Linked DNA regions of Notamacropus eugenii. The protein of the gene in region 4 interacts with the protein of the main gene of each other region in a biochemical or structural test. Links are inferred from orthologs where the notes say so. Each region holds a gene or a part of one and is shown on either strand. Other genes may lie near its edges. The genes, in order: PRKCA, SGK1, TBC1D10A and NHERF2.

Region 1 (7,410 bases), on a different chromosome or scaffold from region 4:
TCATTTCTTTTTGTTCATCCTTGGTTTTTGAAGAGGACCAATGACATCACAATGTTGGGGTAAAACAGTGGGTGATGGGTGATGTTTTGACTGGCCCGTGAATTAGCTTTAAGTGAGGCAGAGTGGTACAAAGTTGTCGGCCTCACTCTTCCATAGGCATCAAAGTCCAGTGGCAGGACAAAACTCAGAATGATTGATAATGGCCCCCGGGATGCAGGGGATGACTTTGGTGTCTTTGATGTCTGACTAAGCTCTAAGTGCTCTACAGTGTCTGCTTCAGCTGTCTTCATGGTCCTTGGAACAGACTGTTCTCATCCCTTACTCTTTGTTAGAACGAAAACATTTTATCTTTATAAAGTGTTTTTGATTGCTCATTTGCAGTTCCATACATATATGTATGTGATATATGTATGTATATGACATATACAGGACATGCACACGTACGCACACAGTTTATTGCTGGAGTAGTTTCAAGTTTTGGGCATTGAATCCCCATAGCAGGCCCCTCTGGGAAACTCCAAGCTGTTACATTCCATTCTACAGTGCATGACACATTAGAGCTACAATTCTATTTCTTTCCTTTGAACCCGCAGAGCAATTATCTCCTACTACTTATTTGGGATTTATCTACTGTTATCTGAGCTAGGACTAAGGGAAGACTGTGTAGGCCTCAGGAGTAAGTGTCCAGGGTGGAGGGGGTGTTTATAATATTACTTTTTATACAAATGCCACATGAATACTAGTTGAAGAAATAAAGGCAGTTTGTTTAGCCTAAAGAGAAAAGACTCAGAGTGGACTGATAACTTTAAAGGGCTATGATGAGGAGAATTGACTTATTCTACTTGGCCACAGAGGGCAGAACAAGGAGAAGTGACTGGAAATTAGAAGGAGGTAGATTTAAGCTCGGTATAAAGAACATTTCCTAATGGGGAGAAATGTACAAAAGTAGAACAAGATATTGGAAGACAGTTTCCTTTCATTGCAAGACTTCAAATAGAGGCTGAATGACCTCTGGTAAGGGACTTTATAAGAGAATTCTTTGAGCCAGATGGCCACTGGCTTTCCTTAACAACTCTGAGATTCCTTGATTAATTTACACAGTCATCATCCTCTTCATTGTCAATAATCTCAATGATGAAACTGGCAATGAATTCTTGCTTGTGGACATACTGGGGTAATGTGGTTTATTTTCCTCTAGTTACTTTGAATTAATTCAGGGAGAAAAAAGAGAGGCTATGTTCTCTTTCAGGCTGTTGTGAGTTTGTCAGTCTTTGAATTTGGGGAAATTAATAAAATTAAGAATGGACAAGAGATGTCTGTTTCCCTCATCTGTTTCTATATCCTCAAAAAAAAAACTATCAAATTTTCAACAGGTGAATATATACTTACCATATTTCCCTGTAGAGTCTTTGCATGCTAGTTAGTACCTACTATTGTTATTCATGCAGTTTTATTTGGTAATTTGCAAATGTGTTGGTTATGCCTTGTACCAGGATATTCTACAGTAATTAATATTAGAATACAAAATTATTTTCTAAATTAAGAGTCTGGAATCTTTTATTAAACAAAGGAAGTCTTTCAACATTGTGCCTAAGTTATCATACATATATTATAATAACTAACCACGATTACTCATCATGAGATATACACATAGATATTAATCATTGTAAAGAGTACTGGTCTACAAATCTTTTTGATCATGTACTCTGTCAAGAAATATTTAAAACATTCACCTTATATACATTTATATTTACTTATTTACAAGTTAGCTACATGCTACATATTAGGAATTATGCATATAATGCAAAATATAAATAAAAATCTTAAGACAAAAATGAAATAACTGATGTAAGAATCAATAGATAAGACAGTAGAGTTTATTTAGTGGCACAGTGACCTGGTCAGAGGTGTCTTTGCTTTTGTTGTGGGTTGTGTGTGACTCCATGACCTTATTTGAGGTCTTCTTGGCAAAGATAATGGAGTGGTTTGCCATTTCCTTCTCCAGCTCTTTTTACAGACGATAGGCAAATAAGATTAGGTGACTTGCCCAGGCTCACCCAGCTAGTAAGTTTCTGAGGCCAGATTTTAATTCACTAAAATGAGTCTTCCTGACTCCAGGCCAGGTACTCTATCCACTATGACACCTAGTTGCCCCTTCAGACATGTTTTAGGATATCAACTTGCTAGCTATGTGGTGAATTGATGGGAATAAGGGAAAAAATTGAGGTAGGAAGACCAATCAATAGGTTAATACAATAGTGCTACGAAAAATGATGAGGGTTTGAATGAAGGAAGTGGTTTTCAGAGCATAGAAATGGGGATGAACAGAAGAGATCGTGTGGGGGTAAAACTGATAGGATTTGTCAGTACAGGATACGTAGGGTGAAGGAGAGTCCGAAGTCAAGGATGACAGAGAGTTTAAATTAAACATGACTGACTGTAAGGATTTGGAGGTATCCTCTATAGAAATAGGAAAGTTCTGAGGAATGGGTTTTGGGGAAAGATAATGGAACAAGATCAGTGATGCAGATCGAAATCTATTCATTTCTATTCATTCTGTGCTACTCACTTTGTCCCATGGAAAATAAAAAGCAGGATGGAATGACAGCTCTTATTCACCAGCCCCTGGGCACCTTCTAGAACACAAAATTCGAAAAGGGTGCCTGAGGCAAGATGGGGGAAGAAAGGGCAGGTCCAGTGGGGTGGGGAAATTTTGCCTGTGGATATTAGTGCAGGTTTCATAGTCTCTGTTTGGTTATAACTACCCCCCCCCCCCCCAGGGTCTGAAGACCCCAGCAATTGACCACAGATATGGGAGGCCAGCCTGGGAGAGAACAGAGTGGAGGAGTGTTGGGCAATGAAAAAGTGTGTGGAATTACCTTGGAGACAATTAGCTAGCAATTAGCTGTCACAGGGCTGAGACCTATCTTCCCATCTTCCTATTAGTTACCCCTTAGAATTATGCCACAGCCTGCTTTGAAGTCATGCTATAGTCCACTGAGGATACAACCTCCACTTTGGGGACTAAATGAGTGAAAGAACCAGCCAGATATCTGTATACCCTCTTTTTTTTTTTTTTTTGTATATTAGCTAATGAGTTGTAGCTAAGAAGTTCAATATTCAGTTTTTAAAAATGAATACCTTCCCTCACATATATATATGTATAAATATATATATATTACCTTATGCAGGAGAAAATTTCATGACATGCACAAATATTAGAAATTGAAATATCTTGTGTCACATCATAGAGAAGTACAAACAAGAGTACTGAACCCAATCAACACCAACTCACCCTATTCCTATAACGATGAGGAAGGAGGAAGTGTAGAAATATTTACCAGCTGTGTGAATGACTGAAAGAGACACTCACACAGAAACAGAGGCAGAGTAAAAGGAATATTATATAGCAACTACCTGCCAGGCAATGTGCTAAGCGCTTTACAAATATTATCTAATTTGATCCTCACAATAACCCAGAGTCAGGGGTTTTGAAGGAGTGAGACAGACAGACAGAAGGCCGGTAGACACAGAGAGAGAAGGTTTGAAAACTGAGTTGTCTACCTATTAATCCTGGCAGTGTACACTGTCTCAAGCAAGATTGGTATTACGTGGTACTGTGAAAAGAGTGCTAGTTTGGGACTCTGGGAGTTCAAGTCTAACACACAGTTAAGTAGCTGTATGACTTTGGACAAGTCACTCAACCTTTCCAGACCTTAGTTTCCTCATCTGCAACAGCAGGGGATTGGAATATGATCTTCAAGATCGTCCCTAGCCCCAAGATTATGCGCCGAAAACTCCGGAGACGACAAAGGAAGAAGGAAAAGGAAAAGCAGACTGAAATGGAGAGACAGAAAAAGAGGAGCAAACGAAAAAGGCGGACAGATCCGCCCCCCGAGATGCATCCTCCTTCTCCTCCTCCTTCTCTTCCTCCTCCCCCTTTTTCCTCCTCGTCCTCCCCTTGCAAATTCTGTCTGCCCCCACGCCCCCAACCCCACCCCCCTTTCCGGGCTGCGGTGAAAACATGGAGACTCTGAATCCGCCCCATGACTAACTCCTGCACCGGAGGAGCCGGGACACACACACATACACACACACACGCACACACACATACACACACACACACACACACACACACACTCGCACACACTCTCGCACTCTCTGGGCATGCTCAGTCGGCGGGGCCGGTTCAGGCTGCTGCCACCACCACCAGCAGCAGGAGTAGCAGCAGCCTCAGCAGCAGCAGCCCCAGCAGCAGCAGCAGCAGCAGCCGCCTCAGCAGCAGCAGCCCCAGGAGCCCCGCTGCTCCCGCGGCCGCGGCTGCTGAGTCGGAAGCCTGTGCAGAGCCAGCCGGGCTGTCAGTGAGAGTGGAGATCGCGAGGGCGCGAGCGCGGCGGCGGCTTGGGCTCCGCACCTGGGGCTCCCCGCGGCCGGAACGCCAGGAGCAGCGGCGGCGGCCCCGGGAGCGGCGGCCGCCGAGGCAGCAGCAGCTGCCCCGGCCGCGTCGGATCGGGCACCGTCCGCTCCTCTCCAGCCAGGACTTCTTGGTCCCCCACCTGGCCCCAGGGCTCCTGCCCTGCCTTCTTCCCGGGGACTGGAGGGAAGGTGTCCGGCACCTCTTGCTCCCCTCCTGCCTCCCCACTCCCTCGTCGGGCTCCGGCTTTCCCAGGGGAGGCAGGTGGTGGCTTGGGGGGGACCATGGCCGACGTTTTCCCGGCCAACGACTCCACCACGTCTCAGGACGTGGCCAACCGCTTCGCCCGCAAAGGGGCGCTAAGGCAGAAGAACGTGCACGAAGTCAAGGACCACAAATTCATCGCCCGCTTCTTCAAGCAGCCCACCTTCTGCAGCCATTGCACTGACTTCATCTGGTAGGCGCACGCCCCAGTTGGACTGGGGTCGGAGAGAGTGGAGGGCGGGGGAGAGGGGAAGTGTGGGGTAAAGGCGGGGCGCGGTGGGGGAGGGTGGTGGTAGAGAGAGGCACCGGGACAGGCACAGTCACCGACGTACTCAACCCGAAGTGCCCGTGGGCAGTTGCACTTTCACACCTGGGCACACTCATCGCCCTGGCACTCAGCTGACACGCCCATGCACACTCACTCACTCACACTCACTCACACCTCAGGGAAAGCTGAACAACAGTAATGTATACACACACACACACACACACACACACACGCAGGCTGATCCGCCCACAGAGCTTAGTGGCGGAGAAACACCAATGGACACACACTAAAAGATACAAACACACCCACACCTACTATCATTCACTTTACTGACATCCCCTCCACGCGGTGACAAACCCACTGGCGAGGTCTACCCTGACAGTTTCTTTTTGGCATTCCCTGGCAGGCTATGAAATAGAGGCTGGCACTGCCAAGCATTGACATTTACACACACGCGCACACACACACACACACAGACGCTGATAAATTCAGGCTGCCCTCGTCCACATGCGCACACTCGCACAGGTTGTAGAGCAATGATGTGTGGCTTTGTGGGCCAAGGAAAAAAATTAAAAAGCCAAAGAGAGAAGAGTTTCCGTAGTCTTGTCAGGAGAACCGCACACAGGAGAAACTGAGGAGCTGCTGCAACTGTGCTGTCACTCATTCCAAACCTCTTCTTTGCTAGAGGGCGTGTGTTGACTCTATGCGTGTTCCTTTCCTTCCAGCTTCCACTCCACTGAACCTTGTGCCCCCGCCTACTGTAGCTTATAACTGCTGGGCACAGAAAGATTTCGACTTTTCTGAGTAAGCAAGCAGAGAGTGAATGAGAGAGAGAGAGAGAGAGAGAGAGAGAGAGAGAGAGAGAGAGAGAGAGAGAGAGAGAGAGAGAGACAGAGAGAGAGACAGAGAGAGAGAGACAGAGAGAGAGAGACAGAGAGAGAGAGAGAGAGACAGAGAGAGAGACAGAGAGACAGAGAGAGAGACAGAACGACAGAGAGACAGAGAGACAGACGGAGCGACAGAGAGAGACAGAGAGAGAGAGAGAGAAAGAAAGAGATAGAGGAGCAAACTGTTGCAAGCATGTGGGGGCAGAGGTGCATTAAAACAGAGTAGGCAGAGGACAAGAGGAATTTAAAATAGACCCTGTCAACCCCAGATTAGTTTTACAGGTCTGTAGATGAGAAGATTCTTTATTTAAGAAAAATGCTATAAGGAATAAAAGCACCTGATAATTATTTAAAACTAAAGATACATACAATTGGGCATAAAATTACTAGGTGGAGGAAAGTAGTTCTTCCTCCCCCTCCCCCCAAATTGTTACTTTATACATTTTTTTCTGTCTCTTGTTCATAAATGTAGGCAGTCTGCAATACTTTGCTAAATGAAGTAAATCCTTAATTCTATACTCTAAAAGACCTACATTGAAACTACATCCTAACTCCAGCCAGCTGTTTCTTATAGGCATCTTGTTGTCCCAAAGGGGTTAAAAATACAGTAGCTCAGTGTAAATGTCAGTGTTGGGCATTTGACTCAAATTGGTGGATTAGTGCTGTCATCCTTCTAAAAAGAATAGCACTCTAAGAAAAAGAAATTATATCAGAAATTATAATTTGAATGAAGTTGTTATACTCAATGATAGTTACAGATGTAAATATATGAAATATATGTGAAATATATGAAATAAGTTAGAGCATCAGAGCAAAGGAAAGTAGCAAATATTGTAAGAGTATGCTTTCTATCTCCATTATTTAATGGAGGTATTTTTTGCTTACTTCAGGCTCTTAATGCTTCATTTTTTATTGTTACATCCCTTAAAAACAGAACTCTATTTTCTGGTTAGTTCTGAATTCCACTGTGCATCATTTAGTTTATATGTTCCTAGTATCAGAGACTAAAGGAACAAAACTCTTCTGAGTTGACAGGCAAAGTGAAATGGACAATAAAATATCCAGACAATTCAAACAATTCACCTGCCCCTATTGTTACTTCAATTATTTAGATGTTTGTGGTAAAAGTTTTTTTCTTTTCTCTTTCTTCTTTCCTTGCTTTCTTCCTTCTTTTCTTTTTTCTTTTGACCTCATAGCTAGACAATTGCTTCAGTTACTAATTTCACTTATACTAGTGTGCTCTAGTAACATTTTCTAATTATCAGTTGATTTATAGTTTCTACATTTCCCAAAGTTTTTATTTGCGTCTTGAAGCAGTGAAGCTAAATGTTTCTATTTAGTGTATCATATTAGAAAGCACTCTAAACTAATCTGCATTTTTGAATTAGTTTTAATTCAGCTATTTTGGGGGGGGAGAACTGCTTTGCAACTTAATATTTATTTTAAGTTGTTTTTATCTTGACACCGTTTTTACTCTGGATACAGATAGTATCAAATGATTCCTAAAAACCCATGTCTGTACATAAGGTTAACTCAGTAAATATTAAATGATTATTCATCTCAAGTGCAAACAACAG
Region 2 (7,005 bases), on a different chromosome or scaffold from region 4:
TCTAGGTTTTCATTCAGGACTTATCCAGAATTCTCCGTGGGCACCAAACAAAGATTCATTTTACAAGATTTTCCAACTAGGTTAAAACATGATATGCAGTTATGCCTGGAATCTCAACCATAGAATTCAAAAATAAAAGGATTATTCTTTTAGGAAAATCCAATACCATGAAACAAGGCAGAGTAGTGCAGTAATAGGACAGAGTGGCAAATTTGGTTTTAAAGGACTTGAATTCCAGTCCTGACACCACTCTGGGAACTGGATAACCTTAGGCAAGAAATGTAAGGTCTTGGGGTCTCCATTCTTTATTTGTTAAATGAGAAACTAGAATTTGGACGTTTCTAACTGGACACACTTGAACTACTTTTTTTAAGTATTTTGATAACTGTACTTCAGCAAAATTGGTTTTCTTTGTAATCCTATTTTAAAACATTATTTTAAGAAGCAATATACATAGACTTCACCAGACTGCCAAAGGCAACCATGGTAAAAAGATTATGAAGCCTTGGACTAGATGATCTCCAAGATTTTTTTTCCTATTTTAATGCTATCTATTATCATAAGTTGGAATCAACTTTGAAAATATAGGACTTAGGGTATGATGTCATTGAAAAATCAAGGAACCTAACTCCTAAGTTGAAAGCTCTACCTACCTAGTCATGGTGATATCCTCGTCATCTTTTAGTGGACAAAGGACAAAAAAAGAGTGGGAGAGTATTTGAAACCCTGTCTCTACTTCCAGCAATCTGATAGGTACAGATCAGTAGGCAGATCAAACACATGGCTAGTCATCTTGGTGTAACTTGTTTTGCTTCCATTCTCATCTTTTATCCACCCCAAATAAAAGGTAGGTAAATTCCCTTGGTCTATTTAAATGTATACATATATATACATACTTATGTATACACACACATATATACATATGTATACACACACATATGTATCAAGGATTGATATAGCACCAAATGGGTAATTTGGTAGTTTGTGGTTTTTAGCAGAAGGGCAGCAGATGGTTAATTAGTATTGCAATGAGCACATTTCCTTTGCAAGATACATGAAAGGCAACTTTTTAAAAAACCAAAACGATTCTGTAATGGTACAATTGAATAAGGATACCTGCTTTCTTAAAACTATTAAAGCAAAAATACAAAACAATCCCTCCCACCCACCCCACCCCCCAAAAAAACAAACGATGAATTAATAGAATTATTTCAGGGAGAAACAGGATAGTTTTATTAGCAGATGGTTCACTGACTGCTGATATATGTGACCACCATTATCTTTCAAGGACAGATTTTTATTTTTATATTGGGGGAGAGAGGTAGGCAAAGAGACACCGTAAAGATCCATTTAGTTGTGGTGACTTGATCTTCCTAGGGATCAGTCAGAGCCCTGGTAACAGGCATCACCTGGTATTTATTGCCTCTGCTCTTGCACAAGCATCTTCTAACAGAGAAATAATATTCTTTTCCATGCATTTGCTTTTGCCCCCAGGACCTTTTGGAATGATGTGACTTCAGTAATGAGAAATAAATCAAAGTCTGGCAAAAAAAAAAAAAAAAAAAAAAAAAAAAAGCTCTCCAACCCTCTCATCTTTTCCTGACAAGCTGCTTGTATTTTTCCAGCTTGCTTCTCTGGTGCAGGGAGTTTGCTCATCCCTGCTCATAATTCAACTGACTTGCCTTTCATTGTGTTGTGCTGGCGGGTTAAATGAAGTGAGTGACTGCATTTCTGTTCCTGGCATCTCACCGAGAGTACATGAATGGAGGACAGAAAGAATGAATGAACAAAATAATTTTGATGGGGCTGCCCCAGGGTATTAAACACGATGGGAAGGAGGTGGGGTCAGGCTGTCATTCCCTAAGAAACACTCTTCATTAAGGAGTTTCTGATGTCATTGGGCCACTTAACAAACCCATTCGGCTTACCTCCTACTTGGACATTAATATGTAGGTTTATGTAGACCACCTATGCTGTCTGCACAATGGCATAATTTTATCGTCAAACAGAAAGGAAAATGATATTTCCCTTTTTCTGCCCATTCCCAACGAATGGAGCACAGTGAAATGCTCTGGATATTCTGGTGTGCACATTTAAAAAAATGCATTAATGTATAATAAACACTGAGGTATCGGTCAAATCCAGACCCTTGCTGCTTTCTCTCACAAAAAAGCTCCCCCCCTCCTCCGGAAAAAAACCTCCAAAGGTAATTGTACTAAATTAGCTCAACCAGAACACAGGGGAATTCAAAGAGAGCTCTTGAAGGATGGCCTTCAATATTTCTGATTGAGGTCATGCTTGCCCTTTACTGACTCAGTTCTGAATTACATCTTCTCCCATGAATTGGTGCTGTGGCTAGAGACACAGCCCGTTACAGGTTGGATGATTTGGGGACCCCAGAGGTACTTCTCCTGCTGAGTGAGGACGGTAATGTAGCACTCTAGACAAAGTGAATGAGAGGAGGAAGAAAGTTGAATACTTCAAACATGGAGAGGGGAGAGAAAGGGAAGAGAGAGAGACGGAGAGACAGAGAAACAGAGACAGACAGACTTAGGAGAAAGAGAGAGATACTTCAAGAGCCCCTAACTAAAGCTACAGTTATAACTGGACTTGATCCAATTATGTTTTTCAAAGGTACAGAATCTCTGGTTTTGACAGAGAATCTTTCTTTCCATAGCCGACCCTGTCTCTAGCAATTCCTGCCCATCCCCCTCTCCTCACCTCCCCCTGCCCACCCCCAGCTGCACCTTAGGCAGGTACTCTCTGCCCTTATTTCTCAGTTCATTCACCAGTCTTCCACACACCGCTTTATGGGGGAGGGCTTGTCACCCGAGCAATATTCCCACTTCAGGTCGGCATAAAGACGCATTTCAAGAAAAGAAAGAAACAAAAGGGAGAAAATCGAGCAAGACCCGTCCTTACCCTCTTCTTAAAAAACTGAAAGGCTGAGCATTTCTTGACTGGGAATCCATTCATGTCTTTGTTGACCATCTTCCACAGCGGAGAGTGCACAGTTGGAGGTCCGGTACGGGGCACTGGCTTAGTGCATCGGCTTTCCTCAGTATCCCTTCTGGAGACAGTTAACGAGGAGAGCGGGGCGGACGCAGCACCATCAGATTCCAGGCAGCGAGTCCTCCCTTCACTCATTCATTCTGCTGCACCAGCTACTGCGGAGACCTTCTCCAGCGTTCGGCTGCCATAGGCTAGATCGTTTTTCTTTTAGTCATTCCTCGATTTCACAAACACAACTGCTACACGACCCTGGTGGCAGCCCACAGACCATATGCGGCAAGTCTCCGGGTAATGGGAACCGGCGCCGAAGGATGCCGGGCTCTTTGTAGTATTATTTTTTAATCTAAATAGGAGCACAGGAGAGACTAGGTCCCTCCTGTTTACCTGGCTGCATCCCTCCCGCTCTAGAACCTGGGCTTTCAGTTAGTGGTTCTCCAAGTGATGTCTTGCCGCGGTTGGAGAGGAGAGCTGTTTTTGATTGTGCCGAGTTCCAGTGGGAACTGTAGTTAAGCAGCTGAGAGGGAGCAAGAAGAGAGAGCAGGAAGGAGAGAGGGGCGGAGGGAGGGGAGAGAGAAGGAGAGAGGGGGGGGGGAGAGAGAGAGAGAGAGAGAGAGAGAGAGAGAGAGAGAGAGAGAGAGAGAGAGAGAGAGAGAGAGAGAGAGAGGAGAGAGAGAGAGAGAGAGAGAGAGAGAGAGAGAGAGAGAGAGAGAGAGAGAGAGAGAGAGAGAGAGAGAGAGAGAGAAAGGGGAGAATGAGAAGAGGAGAATGAAAGAGAGGAGAGGAAAGAGGAGAGAGAGACAGAGTGAGAGACAGAAGCAGAGAGATACATAGAGAGACAGTGCAAAGGAATAACTGAGCAAGGATAAATTAACCAAAAGGCTTTCTGGGATGAATACAAAAATAGTCCCCCTCCACACCCCTCTTTTTTGTTGTTGTTTGGACCATTTAAGTCACAGCCTTAAAAAGAAATGTGCTCACTTCCTTATGAAATGCAGGCGACTTTGAGTTTCATGATTCTCTAAAACAATTGACTATATTTTCTTCAATAAAAGCCTTTTGAATGAAAATATAATTTGATTTATTTCGTGAAGTGTCCAAATGGAGAGAGAAAGGCAATAAAACTATCCAGAAGATTTCCTCAGGTTAAGAAATATGTTTAATCGCAGGTATCCCAATTGCCAATTTTTCTCCTGAAGGTGACAAAATATCCTTTTTATCTTTCTCTCCCTTGACTTGTCACAATAAGAACATAAGACAGGGTTGTTGTATTATTTTTCACTAAAGGAAACAAGAATACCTTGTACAAATAGTGCTATTTATTTGAAGGCCGTGAGTCTTAGAAAGAAATGATCAAACTCCTTTGGACTGTGGGAAAGAACATCTTTTTTAAGTTAAAGGGATCCAGTTAAGTAAAAATAGAAACAAAGCTTCCTTATCTATGCTATTCTGTATATATCAAATGACTGAAATAGAAATATATAGTCATATAATTTAATCTGGCCACTTTTGCTACTGGATTTTGACAATCCCTTAGAATATCTTTTTTGGATTAAAAAACCTCAAACATTCTGTAGTCTCCAAATAAGAACTGTATATATCATTGTTTGACAGGATAGGTCATTAGGATCACAGAGATTTAGCATCATGTATAGGCTCTGCTACAGTGTTTGACTTTCAGCAAATCACCTGACTACTTTGCACCACCTCCTTACCTCATAATCAAAATGCAGAAAATGTGCAAACTTGCATTAATTTATCCAAAATGCAATGCCTGCTGTGTGATACACAGCCCTGTTTGAGGGCATTGTGAGATAGGGAATTGGGACTGGATCTATCCTTTCACTGGTATTGGAGGTCCCCCCCCCCCAGCAATGCAAATCGACACCTTGTCTGCAATTTAGGGTTTCAGAGAGCTGCCTAGAGCATTGGGAGGTTAATTAACTTCCCCCAGGTTACATAGCCAGTATGTGTGGCAGGCAGAATTTGGACCCAATTCTTCCTGGCTTCAAAACCAACTTTTGATCCATTATACCATAACCCATCTCATCCTAGCGTAGAAATATAAAATAAATGATTGAGTAACTTGCTCAAAGTTATACAGGTGGTAAGATAACACAGGCAGCATTTGAACCCAGGTTCTGTCGTTCAGACTGAATGTTGTTTTCACTGGACCGTGGTCATTCAGTAGACTGAATTTTCTGGAAGACAAATGTAATGTAAGCAGAATTGTTGCTTGCTCTCAGTGGAGTGTGTTGACTTGAACTGAAGGCAGCACATTTCATAACCCAAACCATCCATGCACTAATGGACACTCTAGTGATTTGATGGAGTTAATCAAATAGGAGAGTCATTTATTACTGTGTTAATTGGAAAAAAAAATAGGTTCTTTGGGAAATCTATGTTTTGCATCAAAATGACTTTTAAATCAAGAGGTTCCCCATTTACTAACAAATGGAAAAGAGCAGGTTTCTGAAGCAGGTTTACAAGAGAAAGCGATCATTATCCAGTATGGGGCTTTTTTATCTTTTTTATGTCATGGGATAATATTTGTAAAGAACTTAGCACATAGGTGTTTTATAAATGCTTATTTCCTTTTTCCTTCATGGATCTCCTTGACTGTATAGCGAAACCTCTGGATTCCTTACCAGAGTAATGTTTTTAAACGTATAAAAATAAGTCAAGTCAATACACATTTATTAAATATCTGCTATGTGCCAGGTACTTTGCTAATAACTGGGGATATAAAGACAGAAACAGTTCCTGCTTTCAAGGAGTTTACAATCTAATGGAGAAGACTTATGTGAAACAGCTATATACAAACGAGATAAATAAAAGGCAATGGAAGATAATCACAGGGGGAAGGCATTAACATTAAGGAGGATCGGGAAAGACCTTGCAGAAGGTGAGATTTTAGCTGTCCTGAAGGAAGCCATTGATGACAAAGGAAACCAATTCTGTTGAAATATAATTATCAAAATTTATTTTAAAAAGTCCGTAGGCTAAGAACCTCTAATCCAGTGTAACTGTCTTCCTTTACAGACAGGAAAACCAAGGCCCAGGGAGGTTAGATTATTTGTTTGAGGTCATCCAGCTAGGTAGTGATAGAAACAAGGTTAGAATTAATTTATATCTCCGGATTCTTATTCAGTCATTTCATTCTCTGCTACACCATTCAGCCCAGATCTCTTTTTGAAGCAGGCTTACATGGCATATGATTTTCCTGGAATATGTAATATTACTGTTTTAAAAACCCTGGCTTGTGAATGAGGTGGACTAATTGAAAAAATGGTCCAATTGACTGCACTGTATCAGTTAGGAGGAAGGTGACATCATCGCTTTTACTCCTACTTGTGTTTTCACAAACCTGCAGCCTGGATGCCTGTCCCTGGGTGCATTCACGTAATGATGACTGGCACTAAGGAGCTGGGCCTATCGCCTCTGGCAGGCAGCTGAAAGAGATACACCCTCTCCTCAGGCTGCCATCAGTAGCTGCAGAATCTTGCCATTACTGAAACATCACATTCCACTGGGAGCCGGAGCCCAGCTGAAATGAAACTCCCACAATATTTCCCCCTTCAGCCTGAGAGTCCTATTGAGGATGAATGAGTCTCACTTTCTACTCTGAAGGTCAACTGTCCTTCCAATTCCCTTTTAAAACGACAGAGTAATTTCTATGAAACTGTAACCTTGGTGTTCCACCTCATTCTAATGGAAAACCTCAATGTGTGATGAGATCTCTTGAATGATGTGTTTTCAATTTGAAGTGGAATGTTTTTCTCCTTCCTTTTGGTGGTTGATTCATGCCTTTTTTTTTTTAAATCCTCTCCTTCTCAAATGTGGCTTTGGATTTGAACCTGAGTGTAAGGTAGATGAGATGTAAAACAAAAAAGATTAAATATATCTGTATACATGTATACATACATATTTGAAAATGTTTTGATCTCTTTTTTTTAACATCTCTTTATTTCCAGATGTCTGCCTTCTTTCCTCTAC
Region 3 (7,299 bases), on a different chromosome or scaffold from region 4:
CCAAAGGGAAGTATCTGGCTACAAATGCCAGAAATAATCATTCCCTTTTCTAACCTCTCAAAGGATCAAAGCTCCTCAGCTCTACCTGTTTCACATATATGGCTGCACATGCATGCGTATCCACGCACATGCACACGTGTGTACGCGCGTGCACACACGAGGTTTGTCTGCAGCTCTCACCCCCTGGAAAAAACAGAAGAACCTGGGTTGTGACCCAACACCCAAAAAGCACCCCCCTGTCTACCTTCCTCCAGCCCTCAGTGGGCACTAGCCTCAGGCCTCCATCAGGTACAAGCCCCAGGGGTGTCTGGTATCGCTGTATGAACAGAAGTAAAGCATGGCACGCGGAGGAAATGAGGAGAAAGCTTGGCTGGGCTATCAATCCAACAGTGAGGGGTTACCCTGGCACAGTACCAGCAGGGGAAGCTGGAGTGGGTAGGGGAACTTCCCAGATCTCCCTTACAAAGGAAAGAGGATGCCTCCTGGGGTAGGTGGGCATCTTCTCTAAGAGAGGAGAGACTTGGGGAGGTAAAAGGCAGGGTGCCTAATGTAACCTCCATTGCCAGCCTGCCTCAGATGGCCTAAGAAATCTTGAGTAGGAAAGAGGGGTCAGGAGCTGGGGAAGGAGCTCAGAAATGGAGGCCAGAGGCAGGCACAAAGGGACACATTCCTGATGCAGGGCAAAGTATGCTTCTGCCTGGGAGAAGTTGTGCCTGCTGCTGCAGAGGGAGGGCCTGCCTGCCCGCCTAGGGCTTCCTGGGAGGTCTGGGGCAGATGAAGAAGTGGGAAGGAGAGGCATAGCCAGGGTGTGCCCACCACATGTGGCACAGATAACATTGGATGGGCTGGTCCAGGAGGGCACACACATCTGTCTCTTCACAGCTGGTATGTGAAGGGAGAGTTGGGAGGATGTCTCTATGCATGGGAGGTCAGCTTTGCCTTTGAGGGGCTGTGGCCTGGGCAAGAGGTCAGGTGATAGGTGGGTATATGTATGTCTCCTGCAAGTGCGCGTGGGGGGAATGAGGTTCTGGGCACCCTCTGAAGGGTGTGTGTATGTGATCCCTGGTGACCTGTGTTGGCTAGGGGATGGAAGGTCAGGCTGACCACAGAATACTTGTGGGGGTGGGGTTTGTCATGGTTCTCATCCATGCACATGTGTGTGCAGAGGCAATGGGGAGGGGGGGGGGGCAGGGAAGGCATCCGCCTTTCCTGGCAGTGTTTACCTGTTCCTAGAGCTGAGGGTTGGGAAGTTAGCTCTCTTCCCTCCCTTGGTGGGGGGCAGCGTAGAATTAGATCTGGCACTGGGGAGGGGGGTGCCCATACCAGCTGGGTATGAAACCCTCCCACATCTGTATCCTGGTAGTGGAAGGGAGAGCGGGATCAGAGCCCACCCATCCTCAGTGTGTGGCTTTGGGGGAGGCAGGGGTGTGGGGAATCTGAGGAGGGTCCTTGAGGAAGCTCCAGAGAGGTCTCTTACCTCCAGCTCTCTGTAAGGCAGGGTGGTCCTGGAGAACCGGAGGGACCTGAAGGGTGAGGGGGGCTCCCCGCTTGGGAGAGCATCCTCAGAGAGGGAGGAGACTGAGCCTGGGTGAGCGTCTCTGCCTCTCAGAGGGGGGATTCCCAGAGACCTCCAGGGAGGGGCCATGGCTGGCTGTGTCCTCACATACCGTTGGGAGTCCTGGAGCCCCTGAGAGCACAGGAGGGGCCTCCATCAGGAGAGGGGGGAGGCCACATTCCTGGAGGTGAGTCTGAGCTAAGGGGTCAGCTGCCCTGGGAGGCTGGGTGTGGAGCCTTACTCATTCGGGTCTTGGGGGTGGGGGGGAATTCCCGGGGAGGCTGGTCTCGGGAGGGGCAGGGGGCGTGGTGTCTGGGACCTCGGGAGGAGGGTCAGGTGTGCGGACGTCCTGGCCCCAGGGGGGCGCCCAGGGGCGATCCGGGGAGGGGCAGGGGTGCCCTGGGGGAGGGAGGACTGTCACGTGTGTGGAGTCACAGGCCCCCTCCCCCCCTGCCTGCGGAAGGGGTGGGGCCAAAGCGAGGAGGGGGATCCCTGGCACCGTCATGGGGGAAAGGGGTGCCTGCAATCTTGGGCTGATCACCGCGGGCGAGGAGAGTTTATGGCGAAGGGGAGGTTCTCAGAAGTATTGGGGGGTCACGGCGGGGGGGCAGTGTTCCAGCAGTCTCGGGGAGGGGGTCACGGCGGGGGGGTCACGTCGAGGGAGGGGGGTCACGGCGGGGAGGGGGGTGCTGGGTCACAGGGGGGGGTCACGGCAGGGAAGGGGCTGTTGGGTCACAGCTGGGGGGGGCTGTTCCAGCAGTCTCAGGGAGGGGGTCACGGCGGGGGGTCACGGCGTGGAGGGGGGTGCTGGGTCACGGCGGGGGGTCACGGCGGGGAGGGGGCTATTGGGTCACAGCGGGGGGGGGGGTCACGTCGAGGAAGGGGGGTGTTCCAGCAGTCTCGAGGAGGGGGGTCACGGAGGGGAGGGGGGTGCTGGGTCACAGAGGGGGGGGGTCACGGCGGGGAGGGGGCTGTTGGGTCACAGCGGGGGGGGCTGTTCCAGCAGTCTCGGGGAGGGGGTCACGGCGGGGGGGTCACGTCGAGGAAGGGGGGTGTTCCAGCAGTCTCGGGGAGGGGGTCACGGCGGGGAGGGGGGTGCTGGGTCACAGAGGGGGGGGCTGTTCCAGCAGTCTCAGGGAGGGGGTCACGGCGGGGAGGGGGGTGCTGGGTCACGGCGGGGGGTCACGGCGGGGGGTCACGGCGGGGAGGGGGGTGCTGGGTCACGGCGGGGGGCCCGCGGTACTCACGCGCCCGGGTCGCCCTGCGCGCCCACCAGGAAGCCGAACTTGTCGGTGCGGCGCTCCGCGAAGCCATTGGCCTCGGAGTCGGAGCCCAGGGAGCTGAGCTCGTCGGCGGCCGAGGCCGCGTCCGGGCCCGGGACCAGGCTCTCCCGGGTCCCCGAGAGGCTCCCGCCCGGCCCCGGCGAGCGCGGCCCGTTCTCCCCGCGGCTCTTCGCCATCGCCCGCCCGGCCCGGCCCGGCCCCGCCCGCCGCCTCCGCGGTCTCCTCGGCCGCCGCCGCCGCCGCCGCCGCAGCCGTCGTCGAGGCCCCCGCCCCCGGGCTCGTCCATTGGCCCGCCGCACCTCCGGGCGGGCCCAGAGCCGCGCCCCCGCGGGCGACCCCTCTCTGAGCCAATCGCAGCCCGGGATGCCGGGAAAGCCCCGCCCCCAATGCCCGCCCCTCCCCTTCCCCCCCCAGCCCGGAGCGGCGGGGCGGGCGCCGAGTCGGAGCCTCCCGGAGCCGGGCTGCAGGGCCCGCCCCCGGGCTGTCAGTCACCGGGACTCACCTGGACCGAGCCGAGGCTTCCCGCCTCCTCGGCCCGACTTCCGGGCTCTGCCAGACCCGCCCCTCGCCGCGCTAGGAGCGCCAAGCGAGATCGCCGGGTCCCTGCCTTACCCTGCGTGTCCGCGGGGCCCCAGCCCGGCTGCCCGGCCGCGTTCTCCCTGAATGACGCTCCTCCCCTCCCTCGTAACCCACCTCCAGACCTTTGCCCAGGCTGTACGCAGTGTCCACAACGCTCTCCCACATTAGGCCTTTCCCTCTTTCCCCTTGATGCGGGGGTCTCCTCCCTTCCCCCAATCCCCTCGCCCTTCCTTTGAGGTTACATGTAAGGAGCGTCTCCCCCTTGGAATTGAGGCTCCTTGAAGGCAGGGACTGTCCATGTGCCTGCCCCCCCCCCTGCCTAGCGCCTGTGGGGGGTCAGGGAGGGAAGGCGCTGGACTGGGGGCTCCCTCCTGCTCTGTCAGCCCCGCTCTTTCCTCTGTGGGCATCCCAGATGTCTTCTGAGCTCTCCTCCAGTTCTCACCTGACATCCTAGGGGCCTAAGGCTGGGGGAACTGGGAGGCCGGAGGGAATTCTGCTGGAGCCGGTGTACCTCCAGGTACCTCAGCTCTCTGGGCCTCAGTTTCCCCATCTGCACAAAGGGGAGCCAACTTGCACTGCCTGCCTCCCAGGGGTAGACCTCTGCAGTCATCCTGATGAATCTATCTGGTTACTGCACCCACATGGCTCAGGAGGAGAAAGTGGGACGGGTGACCTGCACAGCCCTCCCTCACTCAAAGTCCAGTCCAAGTCATGTCACCATTTCTCTGATGTCTCGGTCTTCTCCAAAAAGGAAGGACAGGAAGGACGAACACAACAATCTACCAAGACTATTGTGGGGAAAGGCGTCTCCATCTAGATACTCCCTCCTCCCTCTGTTTTCCTCTCTCTCCCTCCTCTCTCCCTCTCCCTCCCTCTCCCTCTCCCTCTCCCTCTCCCTCTCCCTCTCCCTCTCCCTCTCCCTCTCTCTCTCTCCTTCTCCCTCTCCCTCTCCCTCTCCCTCTCGCTCTCCCTCTCCCTCTCTCTCTCTCCTTCTCCCTCTCCCTCTCCCTCTCCCTCTCCCTCTCTCTCTCCCTCTCTCTCTCCCTCTCTCTCTCTCCTTCTCCCTCTCCCTCTCCCTCTCCCTCTCCCTCTCTCTCTCTCCTTCTCCCTCTCCCTCTCCCTCTCCCTCTCCCTCTCCCTCTCTCTCTCCCTCTCTCTCTCTCCTTCTCCCTCTCCCTCTCCCTCTCCCTCTCTCTCTCTCCTTCTCCCTCTCCCTCTCCCTCTCCCTCTCCCTCTCCCTTTTCCCTCTCCCTCTCCCTCTCCCTCTCCCTCTCTCCTTCTCCCTCTCCCTCTCCCTCTCCCTCTCCCTCTCTCCTTCTCCCTCTCCCTCTCCCTCTCCCTCTCTCTCTCCCTCTCTCTCTCTCCTTCTCCCTCTCCCTCTTCCTCTCCCTCTCCCTCTCCCTCTCCCTCTCTCTCTCCCTCTCTCTCTCTCCTTCTCCCTCTCCCTCTCCCTTTTCCCTCTCCCTCTCCCTCTCCCTCTCCCTCTCCCTCTCCCTCTCCCTCTCTCTTTCTCTCTCTCCTTCCCATCACTCCTCCTCCTCAGTGTCTCTGGCTGGATCTCCATCCCAGTCACACCCACTCTCTGGCCATATACCCCAGCCTTTTTTCCTTTCCCCTCTACATTGCCTGGAGACCTCATTAGGCAAGTCAGGTCAAGGAGCATTTCTTTATCATGCTGTAACTACGTGCTGGCTCCCCTAAGTTCAGTGGTCATCTCCATGGACACCACCAGATCTAACCCTGACCACTCTCTTCTGGGTCCACAACAGAAGTTACTCTCTCCCAGCTTCCCTCCAGGAAGGTCAAGGTCCCCTCTCTTGAACCCTCAGCTTTTACCCTACAAAGCCAATCTCTGACCAAATCTTAGCCTTTGTTCACCATACCTCTTTTAGGGAGACAACATATGTTTCCTTCTCCCCAGTCACCCAGTAACCAGCCTAGTTTTGGACCTCATTAGTCCCTTCTAGACTATTAAAGAGTCTGTTAATTGATCTTGGCCTCACCGTCTCTCTACTCTGATACATCTCTTTCGAATATTTTCCTAAAGCAAGTGTCTAATGGTAGTACTCCCCTACCCTATAAATTTCAGTGGCTCCCTATTCTCAGGAGAATCAAAAGCTCCTATTCATTACTGAAGGCCCTTTATCACCTTACCCCTTCCTACCTTTTCACCCTTCTCACACCTCATTGCCTTCAAGTCTCCACTGTCCAGTCCACTGGCCCCCGGCAGTTCCCCACCCATGCTACCTCTCCCACCTCTGTGCCTTTGCCCCGTTTCCAGTGCTTCTGGTGCTTTCCCTCCTCACCTAGATCTCTTAGAAATTCTTGGTTTCCTTTAAGACTCAGCTCAAATTCCACCTTCTGCAGGCCCTTCTTATCCTGTCCCACTCCCACCCCACCACCCAGATCTCAGACATCGCCTTATCCTCACTTTGTTCTTAACTTGTACATGCAAAGTTTTCTCATGGTCTTCCCAGTGTACTTCAGGCCAGGGACCCTGCTTCTGCCTTTCTTCATATCTCCAGCACTTACAGGGCCTGGCACACAGTTGGCAGTTAATAAATACTTGCTGACTGACAGCTTCACACCTCTGACCTGATCACTTGCTTCACCTGTCTCCCATACACAACCTCTGAAAACAGCTAATACAGATATCTCATCCAATTTACAGGAAACTGAGGCTCAGTGGTAAAGCCACTTGCCTCAAGAAGCTGGGTTTGAACCCAGCCTTTGCACCAAGTCCAAGTCAATGCTTTTTCACTAAACCAACCTGCCTTAGTTTCTTCATCTGTAAAAGGGAGGGTTTGTACTAGATGACATTAAGGTTCATTACTAAAAAAAAAAAAAAAAGTGGGGGGAGTGGAGGGCTTAGCCTGGGCTCCTGAGGCAAATGGAAAACAATCCACACTTTTAATGTAACTCTGGTGTTTGGTATATAGTAGGCGCTTAATACGTGTTTTAAAATTTTATTTTTATTTGCAATTGGAAATTCTCTTCCCACCCTTTGAAAAGGCAAGAAATATATTATGCATATGAAATCATGATTAATAAGTGCCTGCTGAATGGGAAATCCTGGGACTGTAGTCTGAGGGTAGCCTTCCTTTCTTGAGTTAGAAGGTACTTTTGAAATGCTGCAGTGGATACAGCACCAGTGCAGGAGTCAGGAGGACCTGAGTTCAAATCTCACCTCAGACACTTGACACTCACTAGCTGTGTGACCTTGGGCAAGTCACTTAACCCCAACTGCCTCATCCTGGGTCATCTCCAGTTATCCTCATGAATACATCTGGTCACTGGATTCAGATGGCTCTGGAGGAGAAGTGAGGCTGGTGACCTGCACAACCCTCCCTCACTCAAAACAAAGTCAAGTATAAGTCATGTCATTATTTCTCTGATGGCATGGCCTTCTTCTGCACGAAGGACTAACACACACTCATTTAAAGGTAAAGACCAGGAGACCCAGGAAGAGGAAAGGACTTGTCTGAATCCTTACCTGCCTTATATCAGTGAGGAAAGGGAGACCCAAAGCCTAACTTTGAACCCTGGCTTTCTAGTGGGCTCTGCTATTTGGTGGAACCTGGCAAGCTACAGTAGCCAGTGACCAGGGGAGCTAGGACTGGGGGATGATGGGAAGATCCCTGGTTTTCAAGTCAAGAGACGTTGCCTTCTGGCTTGAGTGACCCATGGGCAGCTCTCCCTTTCTGGGCCTCATTGGGAAAATGAGGGGGTTCGGTGAGGTGGTATCTAAGGTCTATTCCTGAAAATCTCAGGTCTCAGGAGCTCACTCAAGGGACCAGAGAGCCCAAAGCTCTTTGTTTACCCCAGCTCTTCAGCTGTTTCCGTGTTCTTGACTCCAACATTTTCGAAGGTTTCTTTGAGGCC
Region 4 (7,480 bases):
TAGGATGGAGATTGGGAGGCTAAGAGGCCTGGTGGCATGGCAGAAACAGCACTGGATTTGGTGATGGAGGACTGGGGATCCAAAATCTATCCTTGCCAGCTATTACCTGGGTGACCTTGGACAAATCCCTTCCCCTCTCTGAATCTTCTTCATTTCCTCATTTTTAAAATGAAGGGTTTCAATTAAGGTATCTTCCAAAGGTAAAATCCTACTCTAAGTTGGGAGGGAGGATAGGACAGGCCTTGATAGGGTTAGGCCCTTTCTCTAAGAAGAGCTTGGCATGTGGAGGAAGTGAAGTAGAGACTACCTGTGCCTTAGGGCTCTGGGAGGGTTGACAGGGAGGAAGAGGGTTGGGTTTAGAGAAGAAATGACTACTTGAGAGCCAGGGAGAGAGGGTGGGTCCTTAAGCTGGGCAGGCTGGGTTCAGTAAATATACTGTGAACAGGATAGAGAGAAGGAGTTTACTTTGCTTCATCCCCAGAGGGATGGTGTGAGTGACACAGCTCAGGAGAAATGATAGAGGGATGAAGGAGCAGAAGCAAAGATTTTTGACCTAGGAAAGAATCTGGAGCCTTAAAGGGAGTTATTGGGGGGAGAACGAGGGGAGGTCGAGATGCAGTGGAACTGAGGCCATAGTGCCTGGTATTTCTCCAAGAGGACTCCACCTTCATCACTGAACCTAGCTTAAACCTTGAAGATATGGGCTCCAGTCACCAGTGAGTGACCTGGGTGGAGCTAGTACCAGCTCAGTGAGGTATGGGGTAAAGAAGGCAGCAGTCAGAAGGTAATCCTCACTCCACCCTAATGGCCCTGCAGGAGTCATCACAGGAGTACAGGCCCTGAACTCAAGTATCTGGGGTCCCAGGTCCTGTTGTTCTGTTCCCCTTCCCCATTTTAGCTCGGCATGTACTAGAGGGGCCCAGGACCAGGTAGAGGAATACAAGCCAGGACTGAGAGACATAGCCCATAGAGAGACAGACCCTATAGACAATGTAGTATGAGGGAACCAAAGTAAAAAAGACCCAGGAGAACTGTGTTCAAACCTTGGCTGTGCTCTTTACTACCTATCTGAATTTGGGCAAATCCCTTCTGTTCTCTGGACCTCTAAAATGAAGTAGCATGGCAGGAGATGTTACCTAAGGTCCTTCTCAGCTTTAATGTTAAAATGTTGGAGCTGAATCAGGGTCCATCTGAAAACAAACTCATTGGACCAGGCCAGAGAGAAATTGATGACTTAACGTCCCACCAGCATTAGCCTAAGTGGCTTTTATGCCAAGGTAAGTGTGGGAGAGGAAGTACCATGTGGAAGTCCATTTAGCCAGGGAGAATAACCCGAAAAAGGGGTGGGAAATTGTTGCTGGGATGCCTAAAGATCCAAGACCAATAAGACAAACAATGATGCTGAGGTTGGCTGTGGGATAGCCCTTTCTGGTTAGTCTTTCCATTGGAGAGGAGCAGCTGTGATAAGTGGCTCTAATCCTCTGCCTTCATGGGGAATTGGCTGGGTCTGCTTTGTGGGACACCCTCGAGTCTGGTAAGTGTGTTTTTCTCTCTGCATATCTGGCTTTGTGTATCTTTGTGAACTAAAGGAGGAAGGGGACCCCCCGAAGAGAAGCCAGAGAATCCTGGGAAATCCTGGGAAAACCTGTGGAGAAGAGAGATAACTTGGGGGCTGTGGGATAGAGGCCTAAAGAGGAAAAGGAGGTGGACAGAGGCCTCTACAGAAAGGAGAGACAATGAGGAAGGGAACCTGAGAGTATGAAGAATGTAACACAGGTGGGAAAGACAGAACCCCTGGTGGTGGGAGTGGAAACCGGGGTTTTGCTCCAGGGTACCACTGATGGTAGAGGGTGCTAACAGCTAACAGCTCTTTTGGTTATTGGACAGTGTAGAAATAACAGAGGTCAGTACTTGGTTAGCAGGAATAAATTAGTCAAGGTTAAGAAGCTTTCAGATGGTGGGCCTGGGTGAGCTCCTCTGGAGTTCATTTGTTTTCTGTGCTTTCCCCAGGTGGAAAAAATTCCTGGGCAAATCTGAAAGGTTGGAGAAGAGCTTGGAGGTTAAAGAAATTCTCCTAACACAGCAGGTATTACTGTCACTATGAACACACAGTCAGGGGTTACTCTCACTCACCCACAAGCACTCATAAAAATCCATTTGGAGGGTTCATCTGAGGGGCCAACATTTCTTCCTTTAATAAAGATGAGAACATATACAGAAAGGCAAATTTTTACCCTTGGGGGGCATATTAACTCAAATGAAAGAGGCCACTTTTACTCAAGGGTCTATGATTTTCTTAAGGTACACTCTTCCTACCAATGACCCAGAACTCAAATCAAGTCTACACTGTGCTAAGTGCTGGAGAGAGCTGGAAAGGCAAAACTAGTCTCTGTCCTTGAGGGGCTCACAATCTAATGGAAGGAGACAATATGAAAAAAACATGTGCAAATAAGATGTGTAAAGGGTAAATTGCAGATAATCTCAAGAGAATTTCTCCATAACTTTGTGGCCATCTTTGAAAATTTTCATCAGCCTGAAGAAGAGATGAGAAAACGCACCTCTCCCTTTCTCCCTTCTTTGGTGACCTGGAGGACTATAGGTGGGGAAATAATTGCAGACTTGGTTGATGTCTTGGCTAGTTTTACCAAGGTTTCCCTTCCTCCCCCTTTGCTATTCCTTGTCACAAGGTATGGCTCAATGGGTAAGAGGATGGAGGGGTATATTCAGAAGATGATGTAAAACAAACAAAAGGTTGCAATACAACTTTTAAAACTGTGGCCAAAATACGCATCTCCCTAGAACCAATCTGGTGATGAGTACCTCTGAACTTAGTGACGCTGGGCTTTGGACAACCAAAGTTAGTTACCAAAAGTCTATACCCTTATTCTTTTAAGTGCTCTTTAGCTTTTTCTCCTAAGTCAGTTTTAGTGGGATCCCTGCAATCTTCAAAGCCTAATTATTAGGTTTAAATGAACAAGATTTGACCTGAAAAGCAGACTTAGCTAGTAAGGCTGGCCCATTCCAAAGGACTGAGGAGCAAAAAATAAACAAACTGAGAACTGTGGAGGAGTAGAAGGGAGTGATGGGATATTGGCTGAAGGGGGAGCATGGCTGATGAAAGTGTAGCAGGAGGAAGAGGGGGAGAAAAGAGGAGAGGGGAGACTGCTATCTTGTTGATCTTGAATCGTAGTGGCCATGGACAGAGCAATTTATTCCCGTTAGGGACCCTACCTTGCTCAAATCCAGAGCAGTGTTAGCCACGATCCAGAGAGGTTCTCCAATCCTTTCTGAGACCAAATAAATGCTAAAGCCCTCTAGGATGGGACTGTTCCGTTCATTATTATAAAGTGAGCAGAGGTGGAGAATTCTCCTGAAGATTGAGCAGATCCTTACGTCTGACAAGAAAACTACCCGCAAGAAATGTTTCCTTTTTGTGGAATTTGCTTCTTTCTCAGAAAAGAGAAGTCTTGCTTTGCTCTGCATAGAGAGAGTGTACCAGGCCCTCTGCCTTCCGCTCCCATACTGAGCTGGGAGATTACAAGGGGACTTGCCAAATGATCCTAGGAAGGGAATCCCTAGGAGATGAAAGGTCAGAAGAAGCAGGTGGGGTAGGGTTGGGAGAGGGGCACAGCCTGAATTATTCCCCAGCTGGGGAGGGTGGATGAAGTCTGAGATAAGAGACTAGCATTGCACGAAGAAAGAAACAGCCCTCAAAATGCCCCAGCAAGTGTATTTTAGAATGATTTAGGGACTGGGTGTGTGTGTGTGAATACAAGTGTGTCAGGGAGTGTGGGGGTACTGAAAAGGAATGGGGAAATGGGCTCGTGGAGACAGGGTGGGTGGGGTTAAGAGGATCTGGACTCTCAGGGACCTTCCTGAAAGATGGTGGGGATTTCTTTCAGGAATTGGTAAAGGAAAAGAAAAGACCTCTGGGAAGGAGAATTTTATACCAGGGAAACCTATCAGGGGATGTCAATGGAGTTAGGGTGAAAGGAGGCCGCAAGGCTGAAGCAGCAGAACTGGAAAAAGGACCTTAAGTTTTAAGTCACATACCAGGCAGCCTGTGATTAGGTACCTTCGGGGAGCAGTTGGCCCCTGTGCAGGACAGGGCTTTCTGATAGAGGACAGATTGGGTGTTATTAGAGGGGAGGGGTAGTGTTAGGAGTATTATCGAGGGATCAGCCTTTCCTCCTGCTTTGGAAACCTAGGAAGTAGGGTACCCCTTCCCCACCCCCTCCCGACACCGTGTAACTCAGGGACTGGCCTGCTCCGAGGCAGAAGGACGGGCCAAACGACCCCTCAAGTCCTTTCCACAGGGTACCGGAGTCTCCAGGCAGGTCCCCTTCCCCCATCCTGCGGCTCCGCCCCCGGACCTCCCACCCGGCGGGGGGCTACTGGGCGGGCGACCCGAGTCCCGGTGGGCCGGAGGAAAAGGAGGGGGTGGAGGAGGCGGGGCGGGGGCGGTGCCGAGCAGGAACCCCAGCCCGAGCCAACCCGAGCCCGATCCCGAACCCGAGCCGGAGCGGGAGCGTAGCTTACCCACCACCGCCGCTTGGTTCCAGCAGCCGCCTGTCTCCTTGCTCCAGCTCCAGCTCCAAGCCTGGACCCGTCCTTGAGGCGGCAGCAATCGCAGCCTCTGGTCCGGTCCGGTCCTGCTTGGTCCGGCCCAGCATGGCAGCAGAGGCCCCTACCCCTGGTCTCAGTGGTTTCCCGGCCCAGTGCAGCGTCCAGCCCCGCCTCTGAAGGACTCCCGACGGAGGTCCCTGGGAGCCAGGCGTCCCTGCCCCCCAGCCCGCTTCCCTTACACTAGTTGAACTGCGGCCCGGACTTCCCGGATTCTCAAGTTCTGCACTTCTCTGCCTCCTTCCGCCGTGCACCCCGATCTCCAGCAACTGAACCCCTCCGCACTGCACTCCGGAGTTCCATCCCCCGGATCCCTCAGCCTTGCCCCCGCCATCCCCCCAGACCTCCCTCCTCCCTCTCTTCCAGCTCTCATCCCCTACCCCCCTTCATTTTCCTCGTACCACATCCTCGGTCCCTCCGGGTCCCAGACCCCCCTAGTCTTGCGACCCCTTCCCGAACTCTCCAGCCCCAGGACCCAGGACTCGGGGTTCCTCACAGTCGCCCCCTCCCCTCCCCTGAGCTCGCGCCCCCAGCGGCGGCGCCATGGCCAAGGACCAACTGCGGCCCCGGCTGTGCCGGATGATCAAGGGGGAGCAGGGCTACGGGTTCCACCTGCACGGAGAGAAGGGCAAGAGTGGCCAATTCATTCGCAAGGTGGAGCCGGGCTCCCCCGCCGAGGCGGCGGCGCTGCGCGCTGGGGATCGGCTGGTGGAGGTGAATGGGGTCAACGTGGAGAAGGAGACGCATCTCCAGGTGGGCCCGAGATTGTGTGCCTGTGGGTGTGTGTGATGGACACAGAGGGTCCATCCTGTGTCTGTGTGATCGAACTACTCTTGTACGAGCCTGTGTTGTCATACCGTGATTGTGTCAAGGTTCAATAATGTGATATTGCGTGCCTGTGTGACACTGTGTTTATATGGTGATACGCTCTGTATCTATATGTGTATTACTAGGGGATATTGTATGTCCTTGTGGAGGTCTGGAAGGGAGCAAGGGGAAATTGTCAGGAGCTGGGAGGGTGATATAGTATGTGTAGCTAGCCAGCTCTGTGTGATTGTGTGGGTCACTATTTTGATGATGAATTCCCGGCTGTATCTATATTTGATGTAAAATACTGTATCCAGGTGATACTATATATAGCCATATATGACACGGTGTAGCTGTATATGACTGTGACACTGTGTGTAGCTAAGTGTAGCTGTGACTGCATTATATTGTATCCATGTGATATCATGTATAGTTAGCTATGTAAACAGTGTATCGTGTGATACCATGTGTGACCTTGTGTGATAATCCACCACATATAGACATACAGACACTGTGTGATGCTATATATGTATATACTACGGGACGCTGTAGATCTGCATGACCCTGTACTAGTATGTTACATTATATATGACACTGTGTGATACTGTAGATCTATGTGTGACAGTGTGATGTGACAATGTGTATAACTGTGACACTATCTGTATATGACTGTAAGACTTTTCTTGTCTATTCACACTCTGTATCTGTGTTTGGGTGTCAGAGACTGTGTTGAACACTGAGAAAGACATTGTTGTCCTCAAATCTAATCCAGCTCACAGCTCTCTCTAGCATCCGCCTGGGGAAAGTCTCCCTGTATGAGGAAGAGAAAAGTATCAGGAATCAGGAAATACCTGTCCCTAGGATGGGTGTCCTAGCCACTGTCAGTGGGTCCTGGAGATGGGGGTCCTTGTCCTGCAACTTGGCTCTGTTTGGAGAGGAGAGCTCTTGGGTTTGGACTGTAGGCTCTCCTGGCACCATGACTCATTAGTAAGGTAGGGGTAGTACAGTTCTCTGTAGATTGTGTTTCCCATGTGTATGTATGTTTGTATCTGTGTGTGTATTTTTGAAGAGGATATATGGGTGTATGAACACTAGACTTGGATTCAGGAGCTCTTGTTTTGTTATTTACTAACTGGGTGACCTTGGGTAAACAGTTTATCTCCCTGTTTATCTGTAAAATGGGGATGATAATGTTAGGACTTCTGGCCTCACGGGAATGTCATGAGGAAAGATTTGCAAGCTGTTTTATCTTAGTTTTTCCTGGTTGTGTGCACAGTGTGTGTATATGTGTGCTTATTTCAATATATGTGAGACAATGTATTATATAGTCTAATCTTTAGCTCCGAAGCTAAAGCTCCAGACACACACCCTGGGACTGCAGCTGGGGCCTTATACTTTTGCTTGCTCTGTCTTGGCAAACTGCAGCAATCTTAGGCAGGGCAGGGGTGGGGTTGGGCTCTGTGTGCATCTCTCCATCAGTCCTAAGGGAGAGAAGGTTGGGTAAGGGGCTTGCCTTATAGAATCAAAGAATGATGAAACAACTGGGGGGTATTTGACTTGGAGAAGAGAAGACTGGGGTAGGGATCAGGAGAGCCCCTTTCAAGTATCTGAAGGGCTGTCATATGGAAGAAAAATTAGACTAGATAGATCTGTTTGGCTCTAAAAGTACCAGGGCAATGGGTAGAAATTGTAGAAGCAGAATTTACAGAAGCAAAGTTAGCCTTGAATAAAGGAAAAACTGCCTAACAATGAGAGCTGTGGCAAAGTCAGTGGGCTAACTCTAGTGGAAGGCTTTAAATAGACTAGATGACTACTTGTCCATTGTGGTGTGGTGGCCTTGTATCTCTGGTATGGGATTGGATTGAGTGGCTGATGGGGTTCCTTCCAGCTCTGAAATTCTGTGATTGTAGGATTTAAGAACCGGAAAAGGACTTAGAGACCATGTAGTCCAGTAGTTTCCTACCTTTTTTTTGTATGGAGGACACTCTTGGCAGTCTGGTAAAAACCTCTTATTAACTGACCTCGTCTCAGAACAATGTTTTTAAATGCT

Evidence for each region.
Region 1: the proteins of NHERF2 (region 4) and PRKCA form a complex in vitro, tested with the Homo sapiens proteins (2 studies listed by BioGRID and IntAct, with this or other methods). The link is inferred for Notamacropus eugenii from reciprocal best matches to the Homo sapiens genes NHERF2 and PRKCA.
Region 2: the proteins of NHERF2 (region 4) and SGK1 form a complex in vitro, tested with the Homo sapiens proteins (2 studies listed by BioGRID, with this or other methods). The link is inferred for Notamacropus eugenii from reciprocal best matches to the Homo sapiens genes NHERF2 and SGK1.
Region 3: the proteins of NHERF2 (region 4) and TBC1D10A form a complex in vitro, tested with the Homo sapiens proteins (2 studies listed by IntAct, with this or other methods). The link is inferred for Notamacropus eugenii from reciprocal best matches to the Homo sapiens genes NHERF2 and TBC1D10A.

What each region holds. Positions count from the first base shown.
Region 1 is NC_092873.1:329,832,968-329,840,377, reverse strand, and holds the start of PRKCA (protein kinase C alpha type), read left to right. Parts: upstream 1-4,402; 5' UTR 4,403-4,698; coding exon 4,699-4,871; intron 4,872-7,410. UniProt on the Homo sapiens protein: Calcium-activated, phospholipid- and diacylglycerol (DAG)-dependent serine/threonine-protein kinase that is involved in positive and negative regulation of cell proliferation, apoptosis, differentiation, migration and adhesion, tumorigenesis, cardiac hypertrophy, angiogenesis, platelet function and inflammation, by directly phosphorylating targets such as RAF1, BCL2, CSPG4, TNNT2/CTNT, or activating signaling cascade involving MAPK1/3 (ERK1/2) and RAP1GAP.
Region 2 is NC_092873.1:220,168,069-220,175,073, forward strand, and holds the start of SGK1 (serine/threonine-protein kinase Sgk1), read right to left. Parts: upstream 3,007-7,005; 5' UTR 2,992-3,006; coding exon 2,923-2,991; intron 1-2,922. UniProt on the Homo sapiens protein: Serine/threonine-protein kinase which is involved in the regulation of a wide variety of ion channels, membrane transporters, cellular enzymes, transcription factors, neuronal excitability, cell growth, proliferation, survival, migration and apoptosis.
Region 3 is NC_092875.1:15,074,372-15,081,670, reverse strand, and holds the start of TBC1D10A (TBC1 domain family member 10A), read right to left. Parts: upstream 3,015-7,299; coding exon 2,803-3,014; intron 1,889-2,802; exon of another isoform or gene 1,561-1,888; coding exon of another isoform or gene 1,478-1,560; intron 1-1,477.
Region 4 is NC_092872.1:48,222,536-48,230,015, reverse strand, and holds the start of NHERF2 (Na(+)/H(+) exchange regulatory cofactor NHE-RF2), read left to right. Parts: upstream 1-4,477; 5' UTR 4,478-5,166; coding exon 5,167-5,376; intron 5,377-7,480.